Yarrowia lipolytica: one gene and its partners. The protein of the gene in region 3 interacts with the protein of the main gene of each other region in a pairwise test. Links are inferred from orthologs where the notes say so. Each region holds a gene or a part of one and is shown on either strand. Other genes may lie near its edges.

What was found.
Region 1: the proteins of YALI1_B24252g (region 3) and YALI1_F38522g interact in a two-hybrid assay, tested with the Saccharomyces cerevisiae proteins (2 studies listed by BioGRID, with this or other methods). The link is inferred for Yarrowia lipolytica from reciprocal best matches to the Saccharomyces cerevisiae genes RUD3 and IMH1.
Region 2: the proteins of YALI1_B24252g (region 3) and YALI1_C10860g interact in a two-hybrid assay, tested with the Saccharomyces cerevisiae proteins (2 studies listed by BioGRID). The link is inferred for Yarrowia lipolytica from reciprocal best matches to the Saccharomyces cerevisiae genes RUD3 and RVS161.

The regions. Positions count from the first base shown.
Region 1 is NC_090775.1:3,847,794-3,854,465, forward strand, and holds YALI1_F38522g (uncharacterized protein), read right to left. Parts: upstream 4,433-6,672; coding exon 896-4,432; downstream 1-895. Other genes in the region: YALI1_F38476g (uncharacterized protein), read left to right, coding at 1-696; YALI1_F38526g (uncharacterized protein), read left to right, coding at 4,813-4,824, 4,909-5,601; YALI1_F38538g (uncharacterized protein), read right to left, coding at 5,655-6,050. UniProt on the Saccharomyces cerevisiae protein: Involved in vesicular transport between an endosomal compartment and the Golgi apparatus.
Region 2 is NC_090772.1:1,084,504-1,088,274, forward strand, and holds YALI1_C10860g (uncharacterized protein), read right to left. Parts: upstream 1,523-3,771; coding exon 731-1,522; downstream 1-730. UniProt on the Saccharomyces cerevisiae protein: Component of a cytoskeletal structure that is required for the formation of endocytic vesicles at the plasma membrane level.
Region 3 is NC_090771.1:2,422,713-2,427,671, forward strand, and holds YALI1_B24252g (uncharacterized protein), read right to left. Parts: upstream 2,529-4,959; coding exon 795-2,528; downstream 1-794. Other genes in the region: YALI1_B24218g (uncharacterized protein), read left to right, coding at 1-597; YALI1_B24264g (uncharacterized protein), read left to right, coding at 3,720-4,211; YALI1_B24280g (uncharacterized protein), read right to left, coding at 4,631-4,959. UniProt on the Saccharomyces cerevisiae protein: Involved in the structural organization of the cis-Golgi and in vesicle targeting/fusion stages of ER to Golgi transport.

The DNA of each region.
Region 1 (6,672 bases), on a different chromosome or scaffold from region 3:
ACCGCCTGCTCCTTCGACTGCCATTTGTGTATTGCTTTCGACGACATCCGCACTTGCAACAAGATATCCCAAACATTTGACGACGGGCCCAGCCCTAGCACACCAAAACTTCTGGAAATGCTTCCCTCAAAAACAACCTTCTTTGTCCAGGGCGTCAATGTCGTCCGCTTCCCAGAGATCTTCAGGGAGCAATACCGCCAGGGCCATCTGTTGGCCAGTCACACCTGGTCTCACCCAAACCTCGCCTCGCTTAGCAATGAAGAGATAGTCGCACAACTACAATGGACTAACTGGGCTATGAACGCCACTGCCGGTATCATCCCACGCTACTTCCGTCCCCCCTATGGCGCTATCGACAACCGTGTACGTGCTATTGTACGGATGCTGGGCATGCAGTCTGTGTTGTGGGACCGAGACACATTTGATTGGAAGGTTAACGCCGGTATTAAGACCTCCCCTGAGGTCGTGGAAGAGGTCCAAGACTGGAAACTGCAGGGTGGAGGCTGGGGTTTGATCCTCGAGCACGATACTACCATCAAGACTGTCAACGTTGGACTTGATGTTGCCAAAGCTCTTGGGCCGAACCAGCTTACCGTTGCCGAGTGCGTGGGTCAGACACAATGGTACCAGGATCCAGCACGGTTGGGTAACGAGCCCCGCCGTGGCCACCGAGCAGCTTCGTACCAAAGGAGTTGACATTGTTGACCCCATTGCTGTATAAAAATAGTGCGTAAGTATGTAAAGCGAATATAGCAATCATTACAATTACAGAGACTACAAGTTCTTGTAGTGAAGATATACCGGTAGATGTTGGCGGATGTCGCTATCACAGGATAATTAAGACACGTTGTCTATTAATTTCTATAGTTGCGGTAATATATTGCATTGTCCCCATCTAACCAATCGCAGCCCAGAATCTTTCTTCCTCTCCATCCTTGAACTCCAGCAAAGTAGACATTACTGGCAGTAAGTTCTGTCTCTGCTCCTTGTGCTCCAGAAATCCGAGCAGCACGTTCTTGATGTACGCAGTGTTAGTAGCAGTAGCAGGAGCGGGAGGTTGTGAAGTGTTAGATGCCACAGAAGATCGTCGTGACTGGGCAGGTGACGTCACATGACGCTGGGAGCTACTGATCTGGTTGCCCTCCAGTCTGTGCTTCTCTGTCTGAAGAGCGATGATGTCCTCGTTGAGAATTTTCTGCTGCTTCTGCAGCTTGTCGTTTCGCTGTTGAGCATCGTCGACGGCCTGCTTCAGACGCAGCACTGTGGCCTCGGATTCGCTGAGACGTCCATCCATGACCTTACGCTCGGTCTGAAGCTTCTGGATGACCCCATTGGCTTCTTCCATATCCTCCTGGGCACTCTTGGACTCCTTATCAGCATACTCTCGAGACGACTTGAGTGCCTGGAGGTCTCTGAGAGCTCGCTCTTTGTCAGCTCGCAGCTCCTCGGCGTCATGTTGAAGCTCTCGAGTCTTCGTTCGGGCCTCCTCAAGCTCACGCTGTCGACGTCTAGACGATTGAGCAGCACTGGCTTCCAGTTGATCCTTCTCGTCAGTGAGAGCTCGAATCTGCTCCTGGAGATCTCGAATCTTGGTCTCACTACCGTCCTCGGTCTCGTTGAGAAGACGTCGCATGGTTGTGGTCTCTCGAGTTCGCTCCTGCAGCAGCTTGTGTGCATCGGAGACTTCATCCTCCAGAGACTCGCAACGAGAAGTTACCTCTCTCATTCGCATAGCAACTTCCTCCAACTGGCTCTTGAGCTCGGTGACCTCACCAAGGGCATGGTCCTTCTGAGCCTCCTTAATCTTGGCCTCGTTGTTGGCCTCAGTCAGCTCCTTCTCAAGAGCAGCCTTTTCTCGGGTCCACTTGGAAATGGACTCGGAAGATGCAGAATGCTCCTTCTCGAGTTGCTCGACACGTGTAGCAAGAGCATCCTTCTCGGCGACAGCATCCTTCTTCTCCTTCTCCAGTCGAGCCTGGGTGGTCTTGAGAGTAGTAATGCGGCTCTCGATCTTGTTGCACCGCAGATCTGCCTCCTTGTACTTCGCCTCCCAGTCGGATGAAGATGCAGTAACAGCAGCAAGATCTTTCTTGAGCTTGGTTTCGGCAGCAACCAACTTCTCAAGCTCAGCAGTCTGCTTAGCCAAAGTGGTCTCGGCGTCCTTGGCAATCTTCAGCTCTGCCTTGACAGATCCTAGCTGCTCCTCCAGCTTTGAAAGCTGCTCCTTGGTGGTGCCGAGCTCCTTGAATCGGTCCTGACTGAGCTTGGCAGAGTGGGCGTGAGAGTCCTCGGCGGCAGAAAGATGCTGCTCAGTGGTCTCGAGCTTCTTCTTCAGCTCCTCAACCTCCTCCTTGACAGTCTTGAGCTCCTCAGTGGTCTTCTCAGCCTCAGCAAGTCTGCTCTTCGTAGTTTTCAGCTCTTTCTTCAAAGATTCAAGTTCCTCGGTCATAGCTTGGGACGAATCCTGGGACTCCTTGGCACTAGCGAGATCCTTCTTGAGAGACTCAATCTCCTTCTTGAGAGTGGCAACCTCATCCTCAAAGGTCTTGCCCTTCGTCAGTGCAGCAGTCAGCTCTTTGTTTGTCTTGTCAAGATCAGCCTTGGCTGATTCCAAAGACTTTGCATCCTCAGAAGACTTTGAAGACTGGGTCTTGAGCTCATCAACCTCCTTTTGAAGCTTAGAATGGGTTTTGTTTCGATCCTCGATCTCCTTCTTGAGCTCAGCTACATCCTTCTGACGCTCCTCAATCTCTTCCTCCTTCTCGGTGAGCTTCTTCTGCACCTTCTCGAGTTCATCCTTGACTTCGCTGTTTTTATTAGACTTCTGAGCCTCGACAAGATCGTTTCCAATCTCCTTGAGCTGGTCCCGTAGACTCTCCACCTCGGACTTTTCATTAGCAAGGTCCTTCTCAAGCTTTTGCTTGGCATCCTCCAGCACCTTGATCTGAGCATTGTTATCGGGTGCAGGGGATCCTCCCTTCTTGCCCTTCTTTCCCTTACCACCAGTGGCACCGGGAGAGGTATTGGCAGCAGCAACAGCAGACGCAGCTGCGGCCTTGACCGTCGCAAGCTCGCTCTCCAGATCCTCCTTGGCCTTGTTAGCTTCACCAAGCTTCTTCTGGAAACCCTCCAGCAGCTTCGATTTGCCTGCCAGATCATTGGAAGTCTTATCAGCATTGGATTTGGCCTCGGCAAGTTCGGTCTTAAGCTTTTCCAGCTCAGCAGAGTTGTCAGGAGTCTTCTCAATCTCAGCCAGCTTCTCCTGGAGCTCAGCATCAGCCTTAGAGGCGGCAGACTTGGCGTCAGCAAGCTCCTTTCGTGCAGTCTCTAGCTCCTCTGACACAGTCTTGGACTTCTCCAGCTGTTCCTTCAAGTTATTGATTTCGCCAAGATGCTTTTCCGATGCAGCCTTGCTTTCGTCCTTGATCTTGTTCAATGTTTTTGTGAGACTCTCAAGTTCGGAGTCCTTGCTGGCTGTAGAGCGGTCAGCTTTGTCTGATGCCTCCTTAGCCTTGTCCTCAGCCGCTTTGACCATCTCCTCGGCGGATTTGATCTTATCTTCGGCCTTCTTGGCCTCACCCTTAGCCTCGTCCAGCTGCTTTTCAAGCTCCTTTACCTTCTCCTCCTGAGCCTTGACATTGTCCAGCTCACCCACCCTGGTCTTGAGGCCATCTAACTTGGTCTGCAGTTCGGCCAATTTTGCATCCTTAAGCTCCAGCTCAGCACGGGTTTCGCTGGTTGTGTCGGTGGCCTTTGATTCTGCCGGCTCAGCCTCCTTTAGCTTGGTGTTCTCAGCTTCCAGATCCTTCAGATCAGATGTGAGTCGAGCCACGTCGCTTTCGAGCTTCTCAATGGTGTCCTGATCCTTTCTCTTGGTGCCGTCGACCTCCTTCTTGAGTGTGTCGACCTTCGTAGACAATGAACGAAGCTCGTTACTCTGCATTTCGCTCTTAAGATTGAGGTTCTCAAGATACTCAACGAGAGCCTGAGGTTCATTGAGACCGGAGCATGGAGTTCGCTCCTGGAGAACACGCTCGAAATCCTCCACCATGCTCTTTACCAGTTCGGACTTCTTCTTCTCCACTCTGTAGGCTTTGAGAAGATCGGGGTACTTGGCCTCATACCGCTGGAACTTTCGCAGGTGAGATTTGACCTTGTCAGGCACCGGAAGAGTGTCAATGATGTACTCTTCTGGCTCCGTTTGCGATACTGGCTCGGCCTCGGTAGCTCCACCTTCGGTGGAGGGAGCTGACGACCCATTGTCATCTAGCTCCATGCGTTCCACGTCTGGAGTCTTGTAGCTCATGAGCTTTTTCTTGCGCTCTTCTGCCTCGTGTTGCTGCGCCGCCACCTGTTGGTTCTGGGCGTTTTTCACGGCGCCATCTAGTTCATCCGTGAACTGTTTAACGCTCTGCTGGATTCTCGAGAACATGACGTGGAGGTATTAGGTTCTACGAGTCGAAGATGTAACGAGTGCATAAAAGTCGATGCACAAGCTACAGAGAGTGCTTGGGAGATGAAGGCGAGCCGAGCCATGAGAGCATCTCAAAAGCAGAGCGGAAATGACGAAAATATGGTCCGTTTGCATTGTATTTTTTGTCAGTCTCAATTGAATATCTGTTTGATTTTTCCTTACCTTTTCACTCCTAGTTATGACATGTCTCACCACCTTCCGTCCCCCCCTGTAAATTAATCAGCTTTTTAGATTATGAGTGGCACAATGTGCTGACAAACGATGCGTGAAATTAGGTTTGTTCATATAGATCAACTCCGCGTTTGTATGACATTCTCGCCACTTTTCATACCGCCCTGATGTCATTTACTGTGAGTAAAAAGCGAACAGAAACCGGAACTGGGAACCTCATCCGACTCTTTTTCCAGTGCTATAAATTTCACTACTAACGCCAGACTACATTTGCTGTCCCTTTGGAATGTGAGTCCTGCTGTGATTCCGTCAAGCAGGCACTTGCAAACGTCCAGGGCATCGAGTCCGTTGACTGCAAGCTCGTGGATCAGCTTATCAGTGTCACTGGAACTTCTGCTCCGTCCCAGATTGTAAAGGCCGTCCAAAACATCGGCAAGGACGCCATTGTTCGAGGCACTGGACAGCCCAACTCGGCAGCCGTCTGCATTCTCGAAAGCCACGCCCCCGAAGACCAGGCCCAACCTATAAAGGGCCTTGCCCGAATCGTCAGTGTCTCCAAGACCCTTGCGCTCATCGATATCACCCTCAACGGTCTTCCCAAGGGCACATACTACCCCAGCATCCGTACCAGTGGAGACATCTCTGATGCGCCTCAGAGTCTAGGAGGCGTATACCAGGCGCTGGGCAGCGTGGAGGTGAACGAGTCTGACAGTGCATCTGGACTCTTTTCCGGCCAAGCATTTGTCAAGTCCGAGACCCAGATCTCCAGTCTTATTGGCCGGGGCATGGCTGTTTCTACAAGCCCAGACGTTGTCAAGCCTCACGCTCTGGTGGGTGTGATTGCACGAAGCGCTGGCGTGTGGGAGAATGATAAGACTGTGTGTTCCTGCAGCGGAAAGACAGTTTGGGAGGAGCGAAAGGACGTCCAGAGTAAGGGACTCGAGGGCCAGCTCTAAGTGTCCCCTTCTATTATTATAATTGATCAATCGCATTTTCAAATTCATTTCATTTATTTGGGAAGCTCAACGCCAGCCTTAGCCAGAACCTCAGAGAGCTTCTTGTCGTGGAAAAGTTCCATGACCTCCTCTCCAGATCCAATGTGCTTGCCCTTGACGAAGACTGATGGGATGGCGTTACTGGAGGTGATCTCGACAAAAGCCTTCTGCAGCTCCACACGGTCCATGGCTTCCTCCTTGTCCAACTCCAGGTAGAAGGGCTCCAACTCGCCCTTGATGGTCTGGAGGCAAGTCTTAATTTCCTCACACGCATCCGACCAAGACAGCGCCACTACCAGCACCTTGTGCTCGTCAATTAGGCGCTGGGCCTTCTCCAGGTACTTCTGGTAGACCTCAATGTAGAGCTCGTCGTCGTGGTTGTCCTTGTTGTTGTTTTTGTGGTGAGTCATTTTAGAAGAAAAGATTGTAACAAGAGTCGGTGATTAGTTTTGAGTGTTATTTGAGTGCGTGGAGGTCGCACCTCCACAGTGTTTCGATTGCTATGCGGCTCATAATTGCTTATGCGGGCGTGATAAGGACAGCCCAAACAAGCATGTACTTGTAGTTAAGGGTTGGTGTTTGTGCTTCGTACTGTAGGCAATGCAAGGCAAAGGGAGGGTGCGCGAGAAAGAGGCCATAAAACGGCAGACTGAAATAACACGAGGTCGACGGAACCGTCCGGCATCGGCGTCTTCAGAAAATTTACACACCTGTCGCCCTCACGTAAATTTCCTAGTTTCCGTATTAAACGTTTCGGACGGGTCTCATGAGCTTAGTGCGCGATTATATGCCAAGCACTGTAACCGTTGTACCAGTGACAGCCCATCAACATGACGTCTCGAAGATCACCTGCTGTGGATAGAAACTGCGTGGAGAAACTCGGGCTTGAACAGCTGCAAGCAAGGTGTTTATTTGTGTCCAACAAGAGTCAAACCACATATATATAAAGGAGTTAGCACTACTGTATTTATATCCAATATGTACCGCATCAGTGCATCTCGGCTAAAATAGACGAGTGGTCTTGTTGAGATA
Region 2 (3,771 bases), on a different chromosome or scaffold from region 3:
GCTGTTTCACACACTCTGGGCTAATATTGTCCTCGATATTTGGTTAACCGAAGATTTACTAGATTAACAGTTTACTACATTACGCTGTACCAGTTCTGTACTTGTAGTAAATTCTCTAGCTTATCATGGGCTTGATAGTGGTAAGTGGGGCCAGAAAGAGCTTAGATTACAGCTAAAAGTTCGAATGAGGAATTTTTACAAGACTTGAATGACCAAGAGACCACTCGTGGACCGTATCTTCTGGTTATAGTCTTCTAGTTAGTTCTATTGTGTGCCGCTCTTATCTTCAATCCTGGCTCCAAAGATAGATACGCTAAACATTGTCCAAAGACTGTTAAAAGCACAACAAAGAGAGACATCGATTCGAACAACACCAACGTTCGACTGTGAGTCTTTCTTGGTCTCCTTGTGAACAACATGAAAGTTGCAAATGGCTTGTTAGTAGCAGCTGATCAACCTTTCAACACTGCTAATAACAACCACAGCAAGACGAGCAAAGGAACAACCAGTAGTCCTCGTCTATACCACTCTCTCGGTCAAACACGCTATCCCTTCGACTTCATGCTTATCATATATTCATTATACATACTCGTCCACTCTGCGCTTCCAAACGCATGGGTTAGCGAAAACCGTCTTGCCGGCCAACAGCCTACCAGACCATGGCACACTCACTACAAGCAGATGAGTTTGCTCAATAGGCCCGCTCATTCATTGTATGAATTCGATGAGCCTATTTAGTTCCCAAACTAGTAATGCTCAACTCTCTCATGTTCTGCAGTAGATCCTCCACCTTGGCGTCCAACTGGCCGTTAGCGTATTCCTCTCGACTGCTGGCGTCCAGATACTGCTGCACCTGCGCCAGACGGGTATACGACTCTGTACAGAATCGCAGCTGGATCTTGACGAGAGCCTCGAACGAGGGATCCAGGTAAGGAACCCGCAGGTCGATCAGCTGGGGCAGCTCCTCAATCAGCTGGTTGTTGATCTGAGAGTACATTTCCTTGGCCATCTGCTCTTCCTTCTCTGCCTGAGGAAGACGCGCGGCATCGTTGCTGGGCTTTTCAATCAACTTCTTGGTCTTGTGTCTCAGAGCATCGTAGTCCATCAGCTTGTGGTTTCGCTTTTTGATGGCCTCGTTAATGTCAGTGAAGTAAGCACAAAATCGCGTGATGGGATCCAGCACCGTCTCTCGGTAGGGGCCATCCAGAGCCTTGACGGTCTCGGCATCCAGTTCCTGGACAGCCTGCAAGTAGTACTTGGAAATGCCGTCCCGGGTGCCAGCGTCGCCGTAAAACGCATCAATGGTCTCTGCGATTCGCGTCTGCGACGACGTCATGGCTCGCAGCGAGTCCAGAAAGCCCTTGGCCTCCTTGTTCAGCTTGGTGGACGCCGTCTCCATGGTTCGATATCGACGCTCCTCGGTCTCGAACTCCCGGTCCACCGTCTTCTCCACGTGGCCCGTCTTCATCATCACCGACGTGCCCGCCCGGTTCATCGCCTTTTTGAATCCATTCCAGCTCATGGTAGTGTTGGTTGTTAGTGTCGTGTATGCCGAGTGTAGTGGTGAGTGGTTTGGAGATAAGGTGGGACTGAGTTAATTAGGGTAGGGGTAGCGCAGCATATGAGCGCACTGGACGTGCACTTTTCAGATGCGAAAATGGAGCTTGAGACGTCGATTTTTCCCACTAACGACTCTAAATCACGTGATTAATCACATGACGCAGTTACCTAAGCAAAATCTTTCTCCAATCACAGATTATGACTGGGGATCAACAAGCCAAGGAGTCCATCTGGCTTATGTTCGTAGGGTTAGGGGAATCTAAATTGGTGGCAATTTGAAATGAGTGACAGGAGGAGGAGGTGGAGATTTCGACTTGTTTTTGGGTGAGAGAGTATAATAGTTAGTGTACCATTAAAATATAGTGCATTTTCTGAATCGTCTGGTGGTCTCTGCTTCCTTGGGGCATGTCTGCAGCTCGAGATAACTACCCACCAGCTGACTTTTAGAGTTTGCAGAAGTATTTTTGGGAGGCGTTTTGGGAGTGCTATCTTCTACAGTCAGGAGGATGAAACTAAGGGCTGAGCAATACTGATCTAAGAGTCGCCAAGAAGCAAGTGGGGTTTCGGAGGACGATATGTTGGCTTAGTAATCAATATTGGAACCCATTCCTGGCGACTTTTGTGGTTTCGGTGGTTTCGTGTCTCCAGACAGTCCTGTTACAAGTACAAGTATGAGCGCTCAATGGACTGTGTATAGACTGATTTCGAGATAATTTGTGAGAGAGTTGAAAAGTGATCCATTTCGACATAAATGAGATGAGGGAAACCAAAATGGTCTTAAAAGGTTCTCCTTTAGATTAGATACTTGTACTTTTACTTGTACACGACGCCAGGGATGGTGGAGCCCTTCAAAGGAGCCCTCAAAAACATATACATGCTGTCAAAAGTGGAGAAGATGAAAAGAAGTATAGAGGTACTGTACTAACAAGTTCTAGACAGATTCTAGGTCGACTTTCTCCGTCCCTGACCAATATGACCCGCTTGTACCCTTGGCCTTGCTTGAAACACCTCGGCTCATATTCAACCACTACGACCCAGCTCGGTAAAAACACCCACATCTCCAGTACAAGCCTGCATTATCGGATCATTGGACGTTCATTTACTTAGTCTCGCAACCCCAGATGGTTAGCTCAGCTACTCAAGCCTAGTGCTTCCCCATGTGGCTCTCCAGACCCTTATATTGTACATAACTGTGCTGCCGGGTAGACTGATTGTCTTATGACACTAACACAATGGAGTCACTATTTCAGGCCGTAGGAAATTGGACCCACAGGGCACAGCCTTGTTGACCCCTGAGGTCGTATCTTGGAAACTCATGCCGGTTTGTCTGTCTTGCACCTGCCCCCTGTTCTGCTCATTCTTTTTGAGAGTTCCGGTTTCAGAAGAGCATCACGTGAGTCAATAACAAGCGACCCTGATTCTCCTTTGGGCTCTTCATCGTCACAAAAGGGCTCTAGCGGCTCCCGTTGTCTGTTTCTCTTTATCCCCACAATTGGTAAACTCCACGCTACTTTAGTTGGTCAACTCAGTTCGGCCTATTTTTTTCTGCATATACAAAGTAACTACAACGATGTAGCTTACTTAGTCTGCTGTGAGTAGACATACGGCGGCTAACTAGACTAGGAACGATTTTTAGCACCTGGAGCTCTCATGTGCATTGGAGGACAGGGAGTCACAAGAAAACGTCAGATCAGGTGATCTGTCACATCCCACTAGCTTCCTTTTATATGCATCGCGTGATATATCATTGCGTCCCTGGGTCCAAGTCGTCTCCATATCATGCTACAACCCTGCAATATGTGTATGTGGAGCTGAGTTGTAACAACCAAGGCAGCTAACTCTAGACTGCCTAGACCCACTAAGTGGAGCACTCTAAATAAGTGCGTTTTGCTCCCGCTAAGATTCCCACTATTTCTCACTAGTTTGAAACTAGCGGTAAGGGACAGATTGTTCGGAGACAGACTTGCGAGAATGGGTCTAACTTTGGATTCAGAAGAGCTATCCTAAATCCGAGTTCGGAGATTGAATTAGTCGAGATGAAATGATCTAGGGAACATCTTTGATAGCCTCCAACGTGACTTTCTCGTCCTCGGACACACGCGTGATCTTTCCCCGATTAGCCTTCTCCACTAACTGAGCCTCATCCTCCGCTAAAAACACGCTAGCAGCTTGTCAATGTGGGCGGCACGCACGGATAGTCTATCCAGGGTC
Region 3 (4,959 bases):
CTTGGAGACACTGCAGGACTAAGAGGAGGAGAACAAGTAGGCATGGTGGAAAAGGAGGGAATCAAAAGAGCAAGAGAACGGTTCCAGAAAAGTCACATGATTATGGCTGTTCTCCCCGCTGATGGTTGTGACCACAGCAGCGACATCATTGCTGAGCTCAAACAATTGCATGCTGCAGAGAAGCAAATAGTCGTGGCTATCAACAAGACTGACCTGGTTGAGGATCATGTGGTTGAAGCTTTTAAAAACAGACTCATGGAAGAGATCGGTCTGCCTCGCGATTCCATCATTCCGGTCAGTTGTATTGCCAGCTCTGGTCTCGAGACTCTCCTCGCTAAGCTGTCCTCTGAATTCTCCAAAATTACTACAATTGAAGGCTCGGATCCCGTGCTTGCCAGTCAGCGAGTCAAGGACAATCTGATCGCCACAGTAATCCCCGCGTTGGAGACATTCATGGAGTATGATCTAGAAGCCGTTGTCTTTGCCACAGAAGAGCTGAGAATGGCAGCAGAAGGAATCGGTATGATTACTGGCCAGGGTATTGGCATTGAAGAGGTTCTCGGGGCTGTTTTCAGCAAGTTTTGTATTGGAAAGTAACAGACAGTCAAGCTGCGGATTCACTGCTCCAAATGTAAATAGTATATGAATGGATCTTACATCACCCAAACGTGTCTACTAGACATAACCGCCTATAAAAACAATCATACATTTGATTTTTATGTACTTGCCAATGGGCACTTATAGCCACTGACCCCTCCTTTTGTAAGATATCATCATCACATCGTCCCCGGTGGTCACTTCTTACCTGCTTCCCGATCCAAGAACTCAGCAAACTTGCCAAAGAAGCCAACTGCCGGTTGTCTATCCCCCCCTTGTCCACTCAACTGAGTGGAACTACTGCTTTTCTCTAGCTTTCCATCTGTTACGAAAGACGATCTGGAAAGACCAGCCTGGACCTTTTCTTGCTCGTCCCACTCCAGGAAATTGGAGATCAACTGCAGCACCTCGAACTTCTTAGTATCTCCTCTCGATAAAGAGACAAAGGACAGAATGAGGTTGGATACCAGCTGCTTATCGACTGTATCACCCTCTGAGCTCTTCTTGATCATCTGCAGAGCGTTAGTGAGATGCTCATTGAGAATCACAGCCTCGTGTCTCAGCTTTCCGATCAACAGAGACTTGTCCTTGGATTCCTTCTCAAAGTCTGAAGCAGACGCCAGCTTATCCTCCAGCTTCTTGCATTCACTCTTGAGCTCTTCTGTCTCCTTGAGGGCGCTATCCAGATCCTTCCTAAGACTGTCAGACACTGTCTTGTGTTCCAGAATCTGTTTCTCGAGCTCCCCCGAACTGGAAGTTTTCTCATTCTTGAGTTCTTCGACCTGGTCTTCAAGGTCCTTCCTTTCTGCGATATATCTTTGCACCGACTTCTTCAGGGCGGTGAGTTCGTCTTGCAGAACACTGTTTCGGGTCTCCAGATCTGAGTTCACCGTCTTGAGCTCAGAAAGAGCAATCTCATACTTGGAAGACGCACCCTGAGACTTGTTCGCGGTCTCCTGGACGACTAGAATCTCACGTTTCAACAAATCTCGTTCACGTGACAGTCCGTCAATTTCACTCTGGAACTTCTCCCGTGCCTGTTTGAGCTCCTGGTTAAGCTTCTTACTCTCCTGAGACTGCTCAACGAGCTCGTCCTTGAGAAGAGCAACCTTCTCGGACTCCTTTTCAAGCTTTTCACGTGTGTCTGCCAACTCAGCGGCATCCGACTTGAGTCGTTCGCCCAGGGTGGATTTGATTTGTGTGATTCGGTCCAGCAAGCTATCATACTGTTCCGTTTTCGCCTCCAGTTGTTCCTTCAGGGAGGTAATTTCTGTAGAATTGGTAGTACTGGTGTCAGAGTTCGCCAGCTCAAGCTCAGAGACCTTCTTCTGAAGCTTTTCGACTTCGTCAGAGGAAGAATTCGCCAACTCGGCCTCTTGCAACTTCTGTTTAAGCTCAGATACTTCCTTCTCAAGTGATTTCAACGACTCTGTCTTCTTATGAGCCTCTTCGACCTCTTTTTTAGCCTCCGCTAGGTCCTTTTTTAGCCCAGACACTTCCTTATCTCCTCCCTTCTTAGCCTCTTCCAATTGTCCTTGCAGCTTCTTCACCTCCCCCTCAGATTGGGAACTGGACTTTTTATACTCCTCAATCTGCTGCTTCAACTGAGCCACCTGCTCCTCATTGACCTTGTCGTCCCTATCTCCGCTTTCCATCTCTTTCTTCAACTGATCAATTTCAGCCTCCTTGCGCTTCACGGCCACATCTCGCTCCACCTCCAGCCGTTTTGTGGTTGTCGAAAGCTGCTCTTTCAGAGCCGCAACTTGCTCCTCCAGAGAAGATCCGTTGGTCTCAACAGTCTCCTTCTTGGACTCGGTTTCCGGGGTAACAGGGGTCTCCGGAACGTTGGTATCCTCAACAACAACGTCCTCAGCAGCTGCGTTATCAGGAGCCGCTGACGCGGCCTTCTTGTTCTTGTTCTTCTTGCCCATGACTGTAGCCGTGTCTTGCCCTGGCTGCTTCTAGTGTCGAGTATCAAACTGTGATATGTTGTCCTGGTTTGATGTTATTTGATTGATGCACGCTGTACCTCGAAATTTAAAAATACGTGTTAAGATTGGAACTAGTAGCTGACTAATCAGAGGATGAGAGAGGGCTGGAGTGTGCTGAGGAGTGTTAGTCACGTGATACTTGGTAATATAACCAATTATATTGATGCTACGACTCTTCCAAATCAAAACTTATGTTAGTCTGAAAATATCGTCAGTCGAAAATGTCTACCGTGGTCCGAAAATTAGGTTGCAGAGGGAGGAAGGTGGAGACTGAACCAACATACAGAAGCTTTTTTTCTGTTACTTATTAGACTTAATAAAACAGTTGAAAATATTTAATGTTTACTTATCATTTCCTCAGTATCAAATCACACAGTTATATCATCACCCCATCATCCTATCACAAATTTGAATGGCTAAGAGAAGATGTTTTGTCAACGTTCTTTTTCAATCTCTGCTCCTTCACTCTCTAACCTCCTTCGGTCACGTGTTATATCCTCCCCCTAATCTCCAGCCTAAACTGAGTTCATCGTTAGTGAACGTGGAGCATGCACCTGTCAACCTGATCAGGAGAACACGATACTAATCACCAATATTTCGTTGTCTTACACCACAACGTCTTTCACACCACTCTTCTAAAATACCAACGGGCTTACTCACCAATTTATAGCCTCACGTGACTCACCTCTTCTCCACGAAGTCAGCAAGATACACACCCACCTTATTGAACACCATTGGTAGAGCATCGGTTACGACGCCACCGGAGCCCTTGCAATCAAGTGAGCTGCATTATCATCACGTGACATAACCACAGAGTCTCTCACTCACGTGACTGGACTCTCTGGCCGTTATTCCAACACTTTAGTGACTTTTTCGACACAGAAAGCTCCTATTGAGACCTCCACAACAGCATCGGTTTCTCAGATATACTGTCACAGAACAATTGGTCTTGATTTCTGTTCTCTTGCAGCATTTCCGATCGATTTGAAATCTCACAATCACACCAGCTACAGTTCAAGACATTAAGTGCACCATAGCTGATCCCTCACTACCAGAAGTGACCCTCTTCCCGCTTCCCAATCCCCCCACACCCGCATTACCCCCTTTTTCTCATAACCGTCACTCACAAAAATGCCCCGAGCAGAAGCACTAACGCCTCTCTCCCTTCTCAAACAGATTCTCCTTCTACAGACGATATACTACACGATTATCCTCATTCTGGTTGGGTTTTCGTGTTGGGTTTCTGGAGATGCATTCAATTTGGGCCTCATTTTCGATTGGCATTCTGTTCGGTTTGATAATACTATCGGATGGACGATAAGTATGCTGTGGTTGATCGATACCGTGTTTACAGTGTTGGCAATGACAGTCATTGTGGGACGATCCAAGCTTGCTTTGGACTTCACAGTCACCCTGCATGTTATTAACATAATTGTTTCCACTATCTACACCCGTGCCCTGCCTACCAATGGCTTGTGGTGGTTGATCCAGGCTACCTCGACGGTGCTGATGACTATCCTTGGTACTTGGACTAGTCAGTGGAGAGAGCTGCGCAAGACTTTCTTCGAAGAGGGCTACGAGATGGTAAGCAGAAACACCAACCAGCCATCGAACCCTGTCTAATTGTTGGTGCATGCACTCAATTTGTACTGGATGTATTATAGAATGAATAACGATCCATGATCTAGCGCTTGTTAAGATATTGGATGATACTGAATAGATTACGCGTACACAGCAGTAGTGTAGATCGTGGTTGCTATATATCAGTGCACTATACTATACTACAGTCCTCATACAGTGCTGTATCTTACTTGGTCGAGATAGTGCTGATTAGTAAGAGTGTACTGTACTTTTGCTTGTACTGAAGCGAGATCACATATAGTCTAGTGGTAGATATAAAAATTGAAATAAATTAATTGGATGCGTATGCAGATTCTGTTTATGAGCACAGAGTATCATCGTAGGGCTCGTGTTCTCGTATTGGAGCAGGGAGTGAGTATGTAGCTAGTAGGAGTTTCGTAACCGCCGCTTAGTCCATCATGTTAATACAGCAACGACAGAATATTCTCCACTCTGTCTCTCATCTTTTCCACTCCAGCTTCTCCCAGTTCCCTTCTCAGACTGAATTCTGCTGCTGCAAGCACATGCTTGTATACCTGTCTTCCCTCCTCGTCTGTTCTGATTCCTCTGAGTCGCATAGCAGCTTGAACAACCTTTTGTAACGTGACTACAGCTGGTTGGGGAGCCACCGATGACTCGCTCACCAGCTCCTTGAGCATCTTGGCGTACTCCAGAGGGTCTCCTAACAGCGTCAGTGCCACTCTGTTCTCCTCAGAGGCATGCATGAGGTATAGGGATTCTCTGCACGAAA